Caenorhabditis elegans: one gene and its partners. The protein of the gene in region 3 interacts with the protein of the main gene of each other region in a pairwise test. Each region holds a gene or a part of one and is shown on either strand. Other genes may lie near its edges. The genes, in order: npr-12, txt-1, tsct-1 and fkh-8.

What was found.
Region 1: the proteins of tsct-1 (region 3) and npr-12 interact in a two-hybrid assay, tested with the Caenorhabditis elegans proteins (one large-scale study listed by BioGRID).
Region 2: the proteins of tsct-1 (region 3) and txt-1 interact in a two-hybrid assay, tested with the Caenorhabditis elegans proteins (one large-scale study listed by BioGRID).
Region 4: the proteins of tsct-1 (region 3) and fkh-8 interact in a two-hybrid assay, tested with the Caenorhabditis elegans proteins (one large-scale study listed by BioGRID).

Annotation. Positions count from the first base shown.
Region 1 is NC_003282.8:6,934,634-6,939,371, reverse strand, and holds the start of npr-12 (G-protein coupled receptors family 1 profile domain-containing protein), read left to right. Parts: upstream 1-1,723; coding exon 1,724-1,740; intron 1,741-4,311; exon of another isoform or gene 4,312-4,332; intron 4,333-4,738.
Region 2 is NC_003280.10:104,445-107,991, reverse strand, and holds txt-1 (PDZ domain-containing protein), read right to left. Parts: upstream 1,804-3,547; 5' UTR 1,735-1,803; coding exon 1,666-1,734; intron 1,462-1,665; coding exon 1,305-1,461; intron 1,257-1,304; coding exon 1,081-1,256; intron 611-1,080; coding exon 554-610; 3' UTR 507-553; downstream 1-506. Other genes in the region: col-68 (Nematode cuticle collagen N-terminal domain-containing protein), read right to left, coding at 2,270-2,550, 2,594-3,074, 3,119-3,169, 3,228-3,325, 3,371-3,449.
Region 3 is NC_003284.9:12,432,149-12,437,136, forward strand, and holds the start of tsct-1 (Protein tsct-1), read left to right. Parts: upstream 1-1,948; 5' UTR 1,949-2,005; coding exon 2,006-2,023; intron 2,024-4,488; exon of another isoform or gene 4,489-4,555; intron 4,556-4,988.
Region 4 is NC_003280.10:6,189,067-6,193,188, reverse strand, and holds fkh-8 (Forkhead box protein pes-1), read left to right. Parts: upstream 1-1,795; 5' UTR 1,796-1,814; coding exon 1,815-1,979; intron 1,980-2,316; coding exon 2,317-2,511; intron 2,512-2,556; coding exon 2,557-2,626; intron 2,627-2,673; coding exon 2,674-2,772; intron 2,773-2,821; coding exon 2,822-2,904; intron 2,905-2,955; coding exon 2,956-3,069; intron 3,070-3,168; coding exon 3,169-3,268; intron 3,269-3,316; coding exon 3,317-3,477; 3' UTR 3,478-3,566; downstream 3,567-4,122. Other genes in the region: cpb-2 (Cytoplasmic polyadenylation element-binding protein 2), read right to left, coding at 1-260.

The DNA of each region.
Region 1 (4,738 bases), on a different chromosome or scaffold from region 3:
GCACTTAAAATGTTCGCGGTGATCATATTACAAATTTGTTCTTGATCAAGAATATCTCATTTTGTTTGAGAATCTACTGTGCAATTCCTGTTTATAACATTTTATTATTATTGTTAATTGAATTTAAAATCGTCCTCTATTTTTTTTCAATTTGAAAACACTAATTGCCAAGCCTGAAAATATAATTTAGTTTGGTTCCGAAGATGAACAGCTTATTATTTTCAAAGAACGCATGTTTGAGATTTAAGATTCAGAGTTGCCAAAATACTTTGAAATTCTATTCAAACTTCTTTTATTTACAAATTTGCAACGAATAACGGAGTGCTGAAATGAACCTCTTCTAGCCCATCGATAGTTTTGTATTCACTTTTAAAGCTGAGAAAATAAAAAAATGTACTGTTTCATCTTATTTTTATAAACACAAAAATATTTATCGAACAATGTTGATTTGATTTTGTGTCCTGAATCTCCTCAACTCATCAAAACCTCATAATTCGTATTTTCCCATTGGTCATCTAAATCCATTATTTTTTTCCAAAATCTCGTGTTCCGGCTTCACTTTTTTTCGATAGCTTTAGTGGAAAAGATTTTAACGACTGGTGCTCATTGCAAACGATGTGAACCCAGTAATTACATTAGAACCCATCGTCCGCCCACCAAAAAGCAATGAGACGTTACTCAATTTGTTCAGAAATGGACCTTCTTAGAAGTAATTCTTTGAATACTTCTTGCAATATTCTGCAAAAATAAACTTTCTGAAACTAGGTGAGAAATAAAAAATTTTCTTGATTTGTTGTGAGTTCTTAAGAATGCTAGAAATTACATAAAACTATAATTGTTTTGTTGGGAAAGTTTAAGATGCCTGACAGTTTTCTTGGAATTTTTTTTCTAAAACAATCAACTAATTTCCATCATTAAATATTTGAATTTCAAACTTTTTTCAATAAAAAAAGATTGAAACTTCTACAACTATTTTGATGTTTTTGATTGAATAAAGCTGGAGTACCGCCCGTGAGGATTCGTTTTAAAAATATTTATAATACTCCAAAATTACCAAATAATTACCTTTTTTTGTAATTTTCCAACATTATAATAGGACAACTGAGTTTCACCACTTTTTGGCTATAGTTTAAAGAATTTAAATAATTCTCTAATTTTAAAACTATGATATTCGAACGTTTCAGGACAAAAAAAATAAAGGAAAATATTGAACCCTTTTTCTTGCTAACTCACCTGGCAGTGACTATTTCCAGCAAAGAAAAAACATCTTTAAAAGTCGTATTACTTGTAAAAACAAATGTGCCGAAAGGTGTATTTATTATGCAACGACATTTTCCTTCTTCCTCTAGTATATATCCACGATTCTTTCCTCATTCCACTACTATATTCATTCCGGAGCTGTTTCCACGAGTCTCTTGACATTTTTTTTCACATTCATTGTCTACTTAATTCTTTTACGACTTTTGCGCTGTTCTATGTTTTTTTGGAACACGTTATTGAATTTGGCAGAAAAAATTAGTCACCTTTTAAGCGGCTTGATATGTTGTTACAAAAAACTTTCAATCACATTTTTCAATCTGTACACTTTTTGTACTCCCTTATCTCTATACTACTTGTATTTACCACTCTTTAAAAACTGATCTTAATTGTTTTTACAGGTAAACACCATCTGGAATCTTTCTAAAAAGAATCTGTAGGCCGATTTTATAGCAACATCACTATAATGACAGTTCACAAAACGTAAGTTGTTTTTAAATGTTTCTGACAGAAAGTTTCAGACAGTAGCATAAACTAAAATAAAACTGTTTCAAATTGTGTACAAATCAAAGGAACGTTGCAGAACAACGATGCTGTTTTTGTTTCAACTTTAAGACGTAACTTTAGATACATGAACATTTAGTGGTCTTCTTCTTTTTTGGTCAAAAAGTGTTCTTTACTTCCTTTCCTGCAAATTGCAAAAAAGAATCGAAAACACAAAAACCAGAATGGTCCTCCACAATTTTGAATAATATATGGCTCACGAACCCTGTCATCCCAGGAATATTTTCATGGTTTCATGGAATTGTTCGTATTTTTCTTGATGATGTGGGTACCAATTCTTCTTAAAAACGTTCAAGTGGGCCATGCTTCATTAATATTTTTGTATTTAAGCTTTCTAAGAAACATCTTCCAAATGTTATCTTGATTTTTTACAAACACCGACATTCGATTTTCAATACATTTTTCTGATCATTTATGCAAATCTGATTTGTTTTTTCCTTTTCTTTTCCTTATTTCAACATTTTTATCATGCCTACTTCATCTTTTTCCCATTCCCATTGCACAAGATTTTCCTCACTATGTTTCTTCAATAGCTTTTCATTATTCCGTGCTTCAACAAAAAATTTATGCGAATTTTAAAATTGAATTCGTACAAACAGGATGTTGGCATCTAGACGAAATGTCGACTGACATTCACAAATGGTTTGACATTTTTGAAATTAATTTTTGTACAGAAAAGTAATTTCCAAAGAATCTAGGATACGGTTGGCATATCGAAATTCCAGTTCCTTATGGGTTTTTTTTCGTAGAAATTTCGAGCGTATAAATACCAGATTTTTCGAAGGCTTTGAGATTTTAGTTTTCATCATCTTGCTGTCAAACTGTACCTAATCGTTTGAATTTAAAGTTGAAAGCTTGATTGAAACCTGTAAATTTTTACTGTACCGAGATCAGAGTGATAACTTTGCGATAACATCACACAGTTGTACCATCAAGCGGACAATATTTCGCCAATTTGGAAATCTCGCAATCAATAGATATTTGATTGGGACCAGATCATTTAGTTAGTTTATTCTTAGGTATTTGAAGCTCAACTTATTCACAAAATGTTTTGCTAAATTTCCAAGAGTCCACCTACAATTTAATAGTCTTATTTGGCATTTCCGTATGCCCACCCACCTCCATTTACTTACTCTATTCTTGTCCATTTCCTGTGTATTCTATGTTTTGAAACACACTCAAATTCACCTTACCCATTCAATTTTACAAATTCCTAACCTCGAAGGAGGTACTTCATTGAGAAGAGCTAATCGACTCCTATTCTTCGTTTCTTCTTCTTTTTTTACATTTTGTTTCAAAAGAGTGCTGTGACGATAAGAATTTATTTTATATCAGGTCATCATTTTCTGTGAGCAAACTAGATATTTTAAGTGAAAAATTATAGTTTAAAAAAAAAATTAGTAACATTTTCAGACGTATACGTACTACTTGACTGTCTCATGATTGCCTACTGAATGTTTCCTCATATGTTAGCGTGGGCTCCAGCTTTTGATTTTTGTGCCTTACGCATTTTTGTAATCTCAGTTCATGCAACACATTTTCAAGAAGTTTGACAAATAGGCATTTTTGGTCGCGGAAGAGTTAAATAATATCACTCTAGAAATGTAGCTTTTATATTCCCAATTGGCGTCAATAAATTATTCATTTTTCATAATTTCTGATTATTATTCAAATGTTTTTAAGTACCAGGGTGTACCAAGCATCTCTAATTAGTTACCATGACAAATTGATCCCCATAGTTTGAAGCTTATACCAATAGTATTAATCTTCTCAATTTTTGAAGACTCTTTTAATATTTAATTCATTTCTCTTCGCCTCTTCCTACATTTTCTATTTTTATTCTTGACTTCCTGCTCTTCGCGGACCTTTTGAGAGCATTTTGTCGTAAAATTAAATAAAAATTGAAGGGGGAATGAGCAGGAAGAGAAATTGCAATTTGCTCTTCACCTTTGAGTATAAAAAAGAAAGAAAAAAAGAGCACACAATAAAATATATTTCAATTTCAATTTACCTTCCAATCAATTCTTATCTGGATTTCATTGTTCTTTTTTGGTTTTTAGTCTCTTCATCAAACCCCGCTGGGATTTTTTAGGGTAATGGAGTCTGAAAAAGAGGAATTGAATAAAAGAAGCAACGAAAGATTTAGAATCATAGATTACGAATCAAATGGAACACGAGATTTCTTGCTGAAGTTAGCAAATAACAACCACTAATCGTCAATTTTTGTCACTTTTACAAAGAATTTTTTGGAAGATTTTTGGAATGATGCTTATCAAGAGCATCATCCTAATTGTAGACCTTCACATTAGAAAAATCAAAGTTAATGCGCAAGTTCATCTCAAGCGAACAGTAATCACAAACTCCAAGAGCCCCGTTTTTGGTCAATTGTTTTTTATTTGATCTGTGCCAAGAATATATTAATTTTTCTTTTTTTTTCAATTTTAATCATGTATTTCATTATAATTTCTCATAACAAATTCGTGGGGGTATGAAGCCCTAATTTGTTCCTCATCTTGAAGCATCATCCACCTCCATTTTAATGTGTTTTTTGGAACAGCTTATTTTTTATTCGGCACATAAAAATATTTTTTAGGAGGCTTGTACAGAAATTTAAAAAAATTCTAATTTTTAGGATTAAGCATTAAGTTTATCTTCTTATCCTGTTACATTTATCATAAACTTCGCCGAGTGTCACAATTTTTTTTGTGAAGTATATTTTTGTCGGATAAAAATTTCTCAAAAGCAAATTATTTGCTCTAATATATTTTTAATATACTTCCCATTGTATGATTCTAGTTTCAAGCTCATCTACTAGTCATCCGACACTTGTTTTTCAACAAGAAAAAAAACAACAAAAAAATTGGAGAAACCTTGGACCCATCGTCTCCGTTTCCCCCGACGTCGCTACTTTTCTATT
Region 2 (3,547 bases), on a different chromosome or scaffold from region 3:
GCGTCTCTTACGCCCGCTTTAACTTTTTCATCTCTCTATTGCTCTCAGAGCTCCATTAATTGCCGCCTGAGGCTTCAGCCAGGCAAGGCAGAAAAGCCGAGCGCTTTCTCCATATTTAGCTGCATTAATGGATTGGGTGATATTATAAAACACATGAAATTGAAGTGTGTGAAGTTGCTAAAAATATTTTTTTAAAGAATGAGAACTACAAAAATAAGAGCAGAGAAATTTGATTAAATCTCATCAATGCATTTTGTTGTTGGCTGCAGCTTAAGATTTGAATGTTATGGCGCCATTCTTGATTAAATTAAACTAACCACTAAACCAATACACATTTTTTAGGCAACAGAAACAATATGTCGTGGAATTTGGAATTCTAGATGAGAAACGGAAACAGAAAAAGAAAAGCCAGAGAAGTGAAAGTGGGGGGAAGGGGAAAACTTATTTATTTTTGTGACTGGGGATTATTATTTGTTACAAAACATTTATTGCTGGAATGGGGCCAAAGTTCAATTTTAATTCTGTACTTATACTTTTTATTCATTATACAAGTTCAATTGATCTTTGGCTGTGCAGTAGTGCTCGGTTGTTGCGAGAGTTGAATTTCTTGCTGAAAAATAATTTTAAAAAATCAATCATGTTAAATCAGGGGTGGACGGCAAACAATTTTGCCGAAATTGAGATTTTCGGCAAATTGACAAATTGCCAGAATTGAAAATTTCCGGCAAATTTGCCGGAAAAACAGCAATTTTTTTGGAAATTTCAAAATTTCAATTTCAATCGGAATCGGCTACGCTCGGCTACGTTTTACACATCCTAAGAATGTTCCTACATCTATTTTGAAAAGTAAGCAAATTCTATGAGAACATAAAAGAAAAAAGAAAAAAACGTTTCAAAAAGGCACAGTTTTAAGTGTTCCTGCCGAAAATCAGTCAAGTTAAATCAGGGGTGGGCGGCAAACCGGCAAATTGCCGGAATTTAAAATTTCTGGCAAATTGGCAACCGGTCAGTTGCCGGAATTGAAAATTTCAGGCAAATCGGCAATTGTTGCCCACCCCTGTGTTAAATTCACAATCTCACTTCAATCATGGTAACAGCATCTGCAGTCTTTGGGCGCACAATGATAATATCAACTTGTCCTTTATCCTTGAGGCATTGCATCAACCGCTTCTTACAATCAATTTTGTTTAAGACGTTTTTCTTGTTAATCTCGATAATCTGATCTCCGTACTTGAGAACCCCGGCTACTAGAGATTCTGAAATGTCTACCAATTAGAAAAGAGTCTATAAAAGTATTCGCTAACCATTTTCCACTTTGCAGACCAGTATACGTTGATGAACAGATACTATTCCAAGTCCGAACTTCTTGCCCTGAGTCATCATCAGTGTCACCTTGATTCTCTCAAATCGGTGATCCATACTCCCAGAGTTTTGATCGTTTTGATCGTCTTCAGCGAGAGTCTGAAGTAGCCATGTTTATGTGAAGAGCATTAATACTCAGGGGTGCGCGGCAATCGGCAATGTCAAAATGAAAATTTTAATGAAAATTTCGGGCAACTGGCACATTACCGGAAATGGAAATTTCTAGCAGATCGGCAAAAAACCGGCAATGTGCCGACAAAAATTTTGTCGACCGGCAATTGCCACCCACCCCTGTCTACTCACCCTATCATCATCCGTGTCCTCAACTGATTTAAGTTTTGAATTGGGCGGTGCAGATCCTGTAGTGCTCATTTTTTTGAAAATAAGAGAAAGAGTTGAAGGAACCACGTTACTTGTTCTGATTTTTGAAATGATTTTATTGAAAGCTCTTTACGGAAAATGTAGACTTCAGTGACGTGGTGGCGTGATCTATTAAAAAACTGGACGTGGTTTTCTATTTATTTTTTATTAGTTTTTGCTTTTTAAACACTCAAAATTTTGATTTAATTTGTGGAGAACTTTAATAAAGAGTATGTAATTTTATAATGGAGTATGATTGGGTCCGGTAGTAAAATAAAGTTGTCTTTTGAATTAGAAAATTCACCAAACGTGACTGTGTCAAAATTTTTTGATAAAACCAATATTTCTCTAAACCTAGACCCACTGAAACTGATGAAATGACTTTACACATGGAGTACCTGAAACTCAAGTTTGAGATCAAGTACGTGATCATTTTCGTGAATAAATTTTCATTATGATTAAAAAATTGTGATTTATCGAATAAATCTACCGGTTGAACAGAAATAGGGCTATGAAAGACAATACAGTCGGCTTAAAGTTCAGAAAATTAATATCCTGGAGCAGTTCTTGGTGGAGGACAATGATCGCATCCACCACCAGCTCCTGGTTGTCCTGGTGGTCCAGGCTCTCCTGGAGATCCAGGATTTCCTGGAGCTCCATCAATTCCTGGGTCTCCTGGTGGCCCTTGTGGTCCTGGTTGGGAACTTCCTGGAGCTCCTGGCTGTCCTGGTGGGCCGATTGGGCCTGGAGGACCTGGTGGACCAGCTGGCCCTGGAGTACCTGGTACTTCGATAACTTGGCCTGGAACACCTGGAGCCCCGGGGTTACCTGAAACGTTTTTCGTTAGATTTTTTCAAATATGCTAATGTACCTGGTAATCCATCGGCTCCCGGTGGACCTTGAGGTCCAGGGGGACCTGGTGGTCCTGGAAGTGCATTTCCTCCTGGAGTTCCTGGAGCGCCTGGTTCTCCATTTGGTCCTTTAGGTCCTTGCTTTCCAGGTGGTCCCGGTGGTCCTGTTGGGCAGTCGAAACAGAAATCTGCAGCAGTCGGGGATTCGTCTCCTACTGCATCTTGTCCGGGTGTTCCAGGATTTCCTGGAGACCCATCATTTCCAGGATTCCCGTCTGTTCCTGGAGCTCCTGATGGACCAGGTGGGCCAACTCCACAAGAGCAGCATGCTCCTCCACCACCACCACCTCCAACTGGAACTTCTTCATTAAATCCGCCATCGTAGCTAGATGCGCCACGAGCAACTGCCCGACGACGATGAGCAAGACGTCCGGTGACTCCATTTGATTTTTGATATGTCGCGCGTTTGATGCGTCTACGGACGCCCGCAACAGATTCAAACTGAATAAAAGAAAATTCCTTTTGATCCGAAAAAAAACTCTTACTTTATTGTACTCGTCCCACAATCCATTTGTTCTGTGTCGACAGAAATCTACCTTTAAAAAAAAGAAATTATAATAATAACAACACGAATTCAGAATAACAAGTACATACTTCAGATTGCAATGCAGATTGAACGTGTTGCATGTAATTGTAGAGCATGGGGACTGCCATTATTGCAGTTAATGTAGCAACAGTGGATATGGCAATTCCTTAAAAGTTCAGGCATTCATTTTGTTACTATGGAGTAAACTCACCGAAAAACGCCAACTTCCGCATTGCATCAGCTTCCTGTGCTTCATACTTTGGATCATCGTGCGACGATTCAGAAGCCATAGTTCTTCTGGAATCGGGAAAAGTTTCAAGTTTCAAGAGTGGCGAAGAAATTGAGAAATTGACGACGAACAATTCGAAATGAGTGATTTGCGTGCGCG
Region 3 (4,988 bases):
GTACTTGTTACACTAGTTACTTTTTCTCGAACTTTTGATGTAGCTTAATCATTTTCCCCTTTATTTTTTATGTAAGAGATAGTACTTGTAAAGTGTAAAACGTTATTCAATATATACCAAGAACAATTACACCCATATTCGAAAAAAAATAGTTGGGATTGTGATTTTTCTCTACCTATTTTCAACATTGCCAAATTAATACTTTGATAAATTCTCTAGATATATATATATATATATATAATATATATAGATACATTTGCATGTAGATCATTTTTCTCTGAGCTCCAAGGTTAAATTCCCAATTTGTGCAGGAAGATTTGCCCAAAATACCTGTCGATTCTGTTTTCAGCAAATTTGGAAAATCTGGAAGCATCCAATTGTTTGTTTGCAGCGCAGCCATTGGAATATTTTTATTTTTTAATTTTTTCCAGTCCACTTTTGTTTTGAAATTACAATTTTTGAAGTAATGTAAAAAGTAGAAAATAGCCTTGGGCAAACAAAACTTTGAAACAAAATTTCATTAACGTTTTTGCCCCCTTCCTCCGCCCATTTCCTCTTCTCATCCCATTCGAATTTTACCCCATTGGGAATTTCAATTCTTGTATCAGTTTTGTTCTTTTTTAGTTTTAAGAAAATTGGCATATATTTTTGAAAAAACGTCATTTTGATCTTGCAGAACAGCTCTGTTTTGTTTTGTGTCGGGTGGTACCCTAACACCATCATTCTTTCATTCAACCCATAAAAGCCAGCCGTCACAGAGGAACACATTTGAAAAAAAGGGTTCCGCGTCTTTTTAGCTTTTAACTACCATCTGCTCTCTTCCAAAAAAGGACATTGAGTGCTCATTTAATTTTTCTGCTCATTTGTTGATTGGGTTTTTCTACACTTTGACATTCTTTAAAATTATAATTAAAAATAAAATCTTTAAAAATAAAATAGAAAACAAGACGAAAAACATCCTCATAACTCCCTAAAACTAGTGTTTATCGGATTAGATACACATAGAGACGTTCGAGAAATTCAATTTTTTTATCTCATCGTTTACGTATTTTATGTATTTGCACATGTGCGATGAGCATTATTTATGTTACAACAAACCCGTTTTTCCTCATATTTCATCTTGCCATTCTCATTTATTTTCTTATTTATGATATTTGAAAATAACAGAAATTATTTTTACTCTTAATCAGATGAAATACTTTGCAAATATCATAAATGTTATAATTAAAACAATTGAAATTTTTGTTGCGAATATTTAAAACATACAAAAAAACGAAAAAATAAACATACTTAATGTTCCTAGTGAATATCAAATTTCTCTGTGCGTCCGCAAATGCATCACGTGGTTTTGTTCACAATTTCAATTAAAAAACTTCTTGAACTTTAAAAATATGTGTTCACACATTAATTAATTTTCACAAGATCTGTAACATGGGGCATAATTTTTGTGAATTTACCAATCAATCATTAATATAAGATAGTTTCACGTAAGTTCAACGCAAGTTTAAAAGTGATAAAAAAAATCAAATTTTGCATTCAACTTTGCAAATTTGTTCTCAGGATGAAACTTCTTGAAAATTTCACAAAAGTGTTTTTTCTTTTTCTTTTTAACGGTTGAAAAGTTTAACAAAAAAATACTCAATATAGCAAAATTCTAAAATTTTATCAACTTTACCCTGTTGTAGAAATTGAGATTAAACTAGCGAATTTTTCATAAACGACACAAAATTTCAAAATGAGGTTGTGATTAAATAATAATATTTTTTCCAGTCGCTCCGCGGACAAGTGGCCTAAATTTAAGATTCCTGCGGAACCTCAATTTTTAAAATTTTTTACTCAAATAAAAAGCAGAACCGTTACTCCTTCTTATGGTTTGCGTTTATATCTTCACAACTTTTTTTGCTCTCTATTGTCAATAACGTTGGTTTTACAAGATACAAATAACTTAAAGTTTCAGGGTAGTTACAGCTAAAAGAGACCGCAGCAAGGGATCCTGTCACTGAGAATGTTCATCTTTGCCGCAGTAAGTGTTCATTTTTAAGATAAACCACATGACCTTGTCTCCTTATGATCTGCCTGATCAAACAACCGGCTCTTCGTTGTCAATGACCTCGTGTTTATGTATGTGTTTTGTTTATCTCCAGCACGTTTTCCAAATCTAAACGTTTTTGATGGTTGGTTGAGAAAGAGAAACTCTACGCAATTTTGTTGTCCTTTCGTTTTGCTTCTTCACCGTCGCCAATGTAAAACGCGTGACTGCCGCGAAACAAACTCTAAAATACAGAAATCGTGAGTCAACTGTAATTTTTTCGACGATTTCCTTTCTGATTCAATTCCACATATCGATTTTTAGAATGACACCGATTTGCATGAATTATCCGTACCCCCGTCAGTCTGAACAGCAACTTTTCTTTTTAACTTTTTGATTTCTGTTGTTTAATCAAGTGCTTTTTGCGTTCATAAAATATAAGAATAAACAATAACTAAAATTAGAATTTCTTATTTTTACGTATTTTTCCTTCAACAGCATATCAATTTAATTTGAAAATAATTTGTCTTGTTCAATGTTAGGAATTTCGCAAACGTTTAGTTGCCATATGTACAAAGATATGTATAAAGAATGTGGAACATTTTCTTTCAAAAATTGAAAATAATTTATTCTAGTAACATTTTTGAACACATAAATTTCAAGTATAATCTTGAAATTTTTTCATGTCGTTAAAAAATCAAATGCAACGTAATTTGAAACACCTACATTGTGAGACTTTTGCAGAAAACAAAGTTAAAGGTCAATGAGACCCTCCGAATACGAGTGCCAAAAGTATTCAATTAAATTTCCAGTTTTTACGCGATGAAAAACACCAATCAACAATGAGCCAAAAGTGTGGTGTGCTGCTCTTTTCCAAGCGTAACATTTAAATTGAACTTCTGTTTGAAAAATGAGGAGAGCATATAGAGCCAAATGATACAAAACCACTCTCATGATATTAGAATTTCCGACTCCTACCCCGACCCGACCGACCCAAAAAATGGGGCGACCCACTCCACAGGCCTAGTCTTACATCCCTACGGACCAATTGAAAATTAGTCTTGCATGCAAGAATAATAGAGAAAGCTTCAAAGCTAATTTGTTCAAAAACAATTTCCTTTTTGGATCTTCTCCGCCTTCAAACTCCAGTTCAGAATGTTATGTGTCCAATTTTCTTTTGCACGTTCGCTCAAGAGTACACATGACAACTACATATTATCTTTTTTATCAGTTCGTCATTTGATTTGATCGCTATTCATGTGCCCTTTTCATATTTACTCTTCGCAACTCTTTTGTGAGCACCATTGTTGCAACCACAACTTGCATAATTACTACAGAATCGAAGTTTCAAAAAAAGATTGCATTCTATCTCGCGCTCCCATGCGCTTTTTTCGTTTTATTTGCGATTGAAAAATAGCTTTCCTGCTTTGCGGGCTATGCAGAGCAGTAGTTTTCAATGGTTTTGTCTGGGCACACAGAGAAGCGTACAGTGTGATTGAAAAAGTGGGGTAGCAGCCAGTATAGAGCAAGAGAAATGTACAGCATTCAATTTTTCATTCGTTTTCTATTTTGCTCTTATAAACTGTGACATTTCTAGTGACTGAAAACGAGAAATCGCAGTGTCTTGTTTAAAACTCCCTCAAAATCTTTCTCTCTGAAATAATAATTCAGAAGAATTATATATTTTTCTTTTTGACAATGACTTCAAATATAATCTCAGAAATCTTACAATTCACTGGAATGTCACAGTCATAATCTCGTATTATTTGTATCTGAAATAGACGTTATTGCGCCATGTCTAGGTGGCTTTGTTAGAGAAAATACGCGTTTTTCTTAGCTCATCTATTTTTTTTTCTTCTTGCAAAAAGCTGACTTCTTGTTGCATATTCATTGAACGTTAGCTTTTTTGGCAAAGGTTTATGTAGGATTATTTGTAAGACTTGAGTTTTAAGCTCTAAGAATTTGAAAAAAGGTATGAAAAGCTACCAAGTTTTTCATTTTTCTAGTTACGAAAATTGGCTTTCTCTTTTTTTCCTTCCAAACTAGTAGAAAAAGCACTGCCATTGAAATTAAAAAAAACAGTTTTCAACAATTTTTCACAAAGCGGAAAACTTGAAAAATAAATGCTTTTTTAAGTTAAGAAAATATGTCGTCACAAAAGTTCTTGCAGATTTTGCACTGTGCTTTCATAAAGTTATTGGGCTTTCTTGAACTGTTGTTAGTTGTCCTTGATGTACTTCAAACTTTCATAAATTCCTTTTCCAATTACAGCGTTCTCAAACTATTAAAAAAATATGATTCAATAACTGTCTGCACCATTTAGAGAGAGAGAGAAACTAAGCGTTCCTTTCTTTCCTGAAAAAAAAACAAAGTCTCATGGGTTTACTCAGATGACAAAGTAACACAAAAAAACAGAAAAAAAACTCCAAAGTTTCCGTGCCAAAAGTTGCGCCGTCGTGTCTATTTACTTGACACACTTGCCATCACACTTGAGCAAGTACAGCTGTTCCTCAGCACCGCGAGCACTTTTTCGAGAAAATTGAAATTACGTGTCAATTCATGTCTCCCACAGCAGTTCATCAATCATTTGCTGCATGTTGCGACCAATTTATCTTTTCGTTTTTTGTTCAAATTTGAAACAGAAATTTCGAATAAGGGTTCTTGAGTGTAATCAGTCAACGATTGTGATTTTTAATGCGATAAAAAATCCAGCATATTTTTTGAAACTTATCTTTGCCATTTTTCTTCAAAACAATTTTTAATTTGCTCACCTAACCAAATTAAAGGCGAAAGATGTTTTTTTTAATATAAAAATGTCGTACGTTTTGTTTCCCAAAATACATTAATTCAAATCTATTTTGGTCAAATCGTTGTAACTTTTGTTCATATCTGTCTTGTCCACGGCGCAAAAATGTTATCAAATTTTGCTAATTAGTCATCAACTTTTTTTAATTTCATA
Region 4 (4,122 bases), on a different chromosome or scaffold from region 3:
AATGGAGTGCTGGAATTCCAGTCCTGTCTTTCACGAAACATATCATTGGATTTGGCATTTTGCTGTTCCAATTCTTGAGTGACCAAGTTATTTTGTTTGAAAAAATGTTCATCTAGCACATCATCTTTTGCAGTGTCCATCATACCACGACATTTACGACGATTCATCTTCGACAGCTTGTGTTCTTCAAATCTATCACCATTACCCCAGAAGTCATCATCTCCTTGCATTGAGAGAAACACGCGCCTTGATTTTGACATCTGAAGTGATTTTGGTTCCACGTTGTCATGTTCTAGAAACTTCGCTCACCTTCGAAATTCGCGTAGGCAATCGATACAAAATATTATTCAGAAATAATCAAAACTCCGGTTGTTCATCTGATGAGACGTTTCACGCGGATGGCATTTTATTTTCATGTCCCAATGCCCTCAATTCATTTATTTCATTTTAATCACGTTTTTTGTTCAGAATGGAATCACATCTCTAAAATTTGAATTACAATTGAAATCATTTTTTTAATCAGCTGTAATCTCTGCAACAATATTTTTTAATTACCCCGTAGAGTGCAAGAATCAAGATTAATATAGGAAATACGGTATTTATGTTTTCCTTACGGGCTATAGATTTGTAATCTAAACGCTCTAAAACTACATACAGTTATTCAGCAGCACAAAAATCTAAAAATGTTTTCCAATTTCGATTTATGTCATATATTTGAAATCAATGATCAAATGAATATAAGTGAGTTTCAGAATGATATAATACATTGAATGTATTCTTTCTCGTGTTTTGCACCTTTTCTTTCTATTTTCTCACACAATCAGCCGCCGTCTTGTTTCACTTCTGACCAGAAATTATCGCCTCGCGCGTATTTTCAAAAGGGTTCTGACGCATTCTCCCCTAGCAGTTGTCTATAACTTCCCAAATTTAGATTTATATTCTCAGAAGTGATGTTTTTTCAGGCCCGGCAGTATGAAATAAAAACAACGAGTTGATGGTATAGTATACTCATTATTTATTTTTTCGAGTAAGTCAAACTGAATACAATATTCTAAAATAAACTTTAGTTATTTAAAGATGACTATGTCAGGTGCAATCGAGTTCCACCAAAAATCAGCTCACTTTTGTTGTAAAATTAATAGACTGAACATGCGTTTTTTTCTTAGAATAGAAAACCATACGTGTCCATTTTTAAATATCATGATTTTGTTTTGGCAAATTTTGAATATAAATCACTTTAAGAAATTGTTCAAAGTTATTCAACGAGTCATAAAATCACAGAAACTTGTGCTACAGTAACCCAACTACTACGGCTCCCATGCTAATGAATGTTGTTTTACAAAAATATCATATCTGAATAAGAATACCTGGAAAAACCTGAATACGTTTTGTGTTCGTTCTCAACACCCCAAAAATAAGAATTTTTTCCAAGACTTGTTTCGTTTGAATCACTCTGTCGTGGATCTCGTTGAGGTTTCGATGTTTGCTCTTTTACTTACTTTTATTTCTTTTTTATTTGTTGTCTTGTTGGTCCCACCTTCTCCTTATTCTATGACTCATTCATGCACAGACTAACATTCGCTCCTCTTTTTCCCTGAAGCCGTTCAGTCTGTTGGTTGCCCCAACGACGCCGCCTGCTCTGCATCGATTTTCGTGTCACCTGCTTGCTGCATTCCTCGCTTCTCTTCTTTTCCTCTTCATTCCATTTTCACAAACCTCATGCATTTCCAATCTCAATTATTCCTCCATTCATCCACCGATTCTCCTCTTTTTTAAGATCCACAGTTTTAATTTCAGAAGGTCAATCACTTGTGATGTCAGATCTAAGCTCAAGCTTGTGCCAATTGAACTGGCTCATTGCCAAAGGTGGACTGAACACAGTACAAGAAATCGAAGTACCTGAAAACCCTAATATTGTTGGATCTGTGAATGTTTCGCCACTGGTCCTATCTCCTACAGTACCTGCAGAAACGTCAAAGGCAATTTTAATAAATATTTGAAATGTCATAGAAAATCAGAGAACTCTTTCAATTATGCTCTGAATGTTTTGTTGCAAATCTACTCATATTTTTAGAATTAATAATTTTAATTTAGTTGCAAACATCACTTACATATATTTTTCGAATACATAATCTAAATGACCTGGCCTTTTTCGTCCTTCCTTGAAATTAAATTACGCCGGTAATTTCATACAATTCAATTTCGGTGAGGGTGGCACCTGCAGCGTCATAACTCGAATTAGATTTATGTGGCTGAGGTCAACATCTGGTTTTTAGAAAGATCTATTGCTCTTTTATAATTGCTTTCTAATTTCAGCCAGTGGCTCCTGCACACGAAGGAAAACGGAGGAGAATTTTTGATGGAGCGGATAAGCCACCATATTCATACTCTCAACTTATTCGTCTAGCTATCGAAGATACTCCCGATAAAAAATGTACTCTTGCTGAAATCTACTCTTTCATTGCTCACAACTTTCAATTCTATCGTGAAAACCGGAATTCAAGTTGGAAGGTAATCCTTATTCCGGATATTGGAATTCTACGTTTGAAATTGCAGAATTCCATTCGCCATAATCTGTCATTAAATAAACAATTCAGCCGCATTGAGAAGACTGATGGAGATAGAAGTGAGATAATTATTTAATGATTAATTTAATTGAATTCATTTTTACAGGAGGATGGTGGGTTTGTGTAGATCCGCCAGCCAAGAAACCACGAATTCTCAAAGGATCCCCAGTGCGAGTAAATCCAATTTACGAGCATCTATATCATAGTAATACATAAGATTATAACTGATCAACAATATCAATAATTGTTTTCAGATAAACAAGACATGCCAAATTTCACTCCTCCGCCAGAAGATCCATTCCTGTCAGAAATTAATGGAAATGTACATGAACTTACGGTATCTTATCAAACATTCCCTCATGCAAGCTTAATTTTATTTCATTCACAGGAACACGAAATAAGAGATTTGAATTTGTTCGAGTCATATGATCTAAACTCATCATTCCGTGATGTCTACAATCAAATTTTTGAGAAGTCCACTTCCCCCAATGGGAAGAAGCAAGTAAGTGAAAAAAAAGTTCAGTTCTGAGAAGCAAAATTCTAGAGATCTTGTGTGTTGGAAATTCAATAATTAATTCTTAAAGTATATTATTAACTTCAGGCTGCTCAAATCGATTGGTTGAAAATAAGCTTAGAAGCTGCTGGACTTGATTATCACGATGAACAAGAACTTCAAGAAGTTGATACGGATAAGTTGAAAGGTTAAAATGAAAAGAAACTATTTTTAAACTTAATTTCCAAAAATTTAGATTACGTCTACAATGGATTCCCAGCAGAATGCGACAGTGATGTCTCAACTCCAAGAACAGACTCTGGCCGTCATTCATCCTCAGATTCTGTTCTTTCAGCCACTCTTCAACCAGTTAACAATGATTCAGATGATGAGTATGACTGGGATAAATTGCTATAAATTGTTAATCTAAAGGTTCAAAAACTCACATATTTTTCACACAGTGTCCAAATTTCATTTGTACAAAAATACATTGTTAGTTAGTTTTCATTTTCATATTCATTTTTCGTAAACATTCAATGAATTGTTTACTGATACTATACGCCAAGTTTATGCATGTAGCCACGCCTGTACTTTCCAAAAAAAAATCTGGTAATGGCATTCGATTTCAAATTCGAAAAAAAAAACCTATGTGTCCAAATTTTCATGAGCGATCTAGCCACTTTTTGACTACAGATGTGCACCAACTTTTTTGGTTGAGTACTCATGAGTTGATACAGCAATTAATTATTCAGTCTAACCCCGTTAACCTCCGTCACGTAAATTCAATAAGTGGCAGGAATCCCAATGTCAAAAACGTCATAAAGATTGGAGATGGCGAAATTGAAGACGTACCAAGTATGCTAGTAGACAATTGATACATAAACATACTTGGTACATATTTAAAGATACAGTTTCTTTGACAATACGCGATAACATCTGGAGATGAACTGGAGATGCCATCGTGGAAGCACAAAACAACATGCACAAAAGAGAGAGGCCAACATAGCGATGCTGGAAAAATTAGGGATACAAGTCTGTTTGTTGTCTGCGTCTCTCCACACG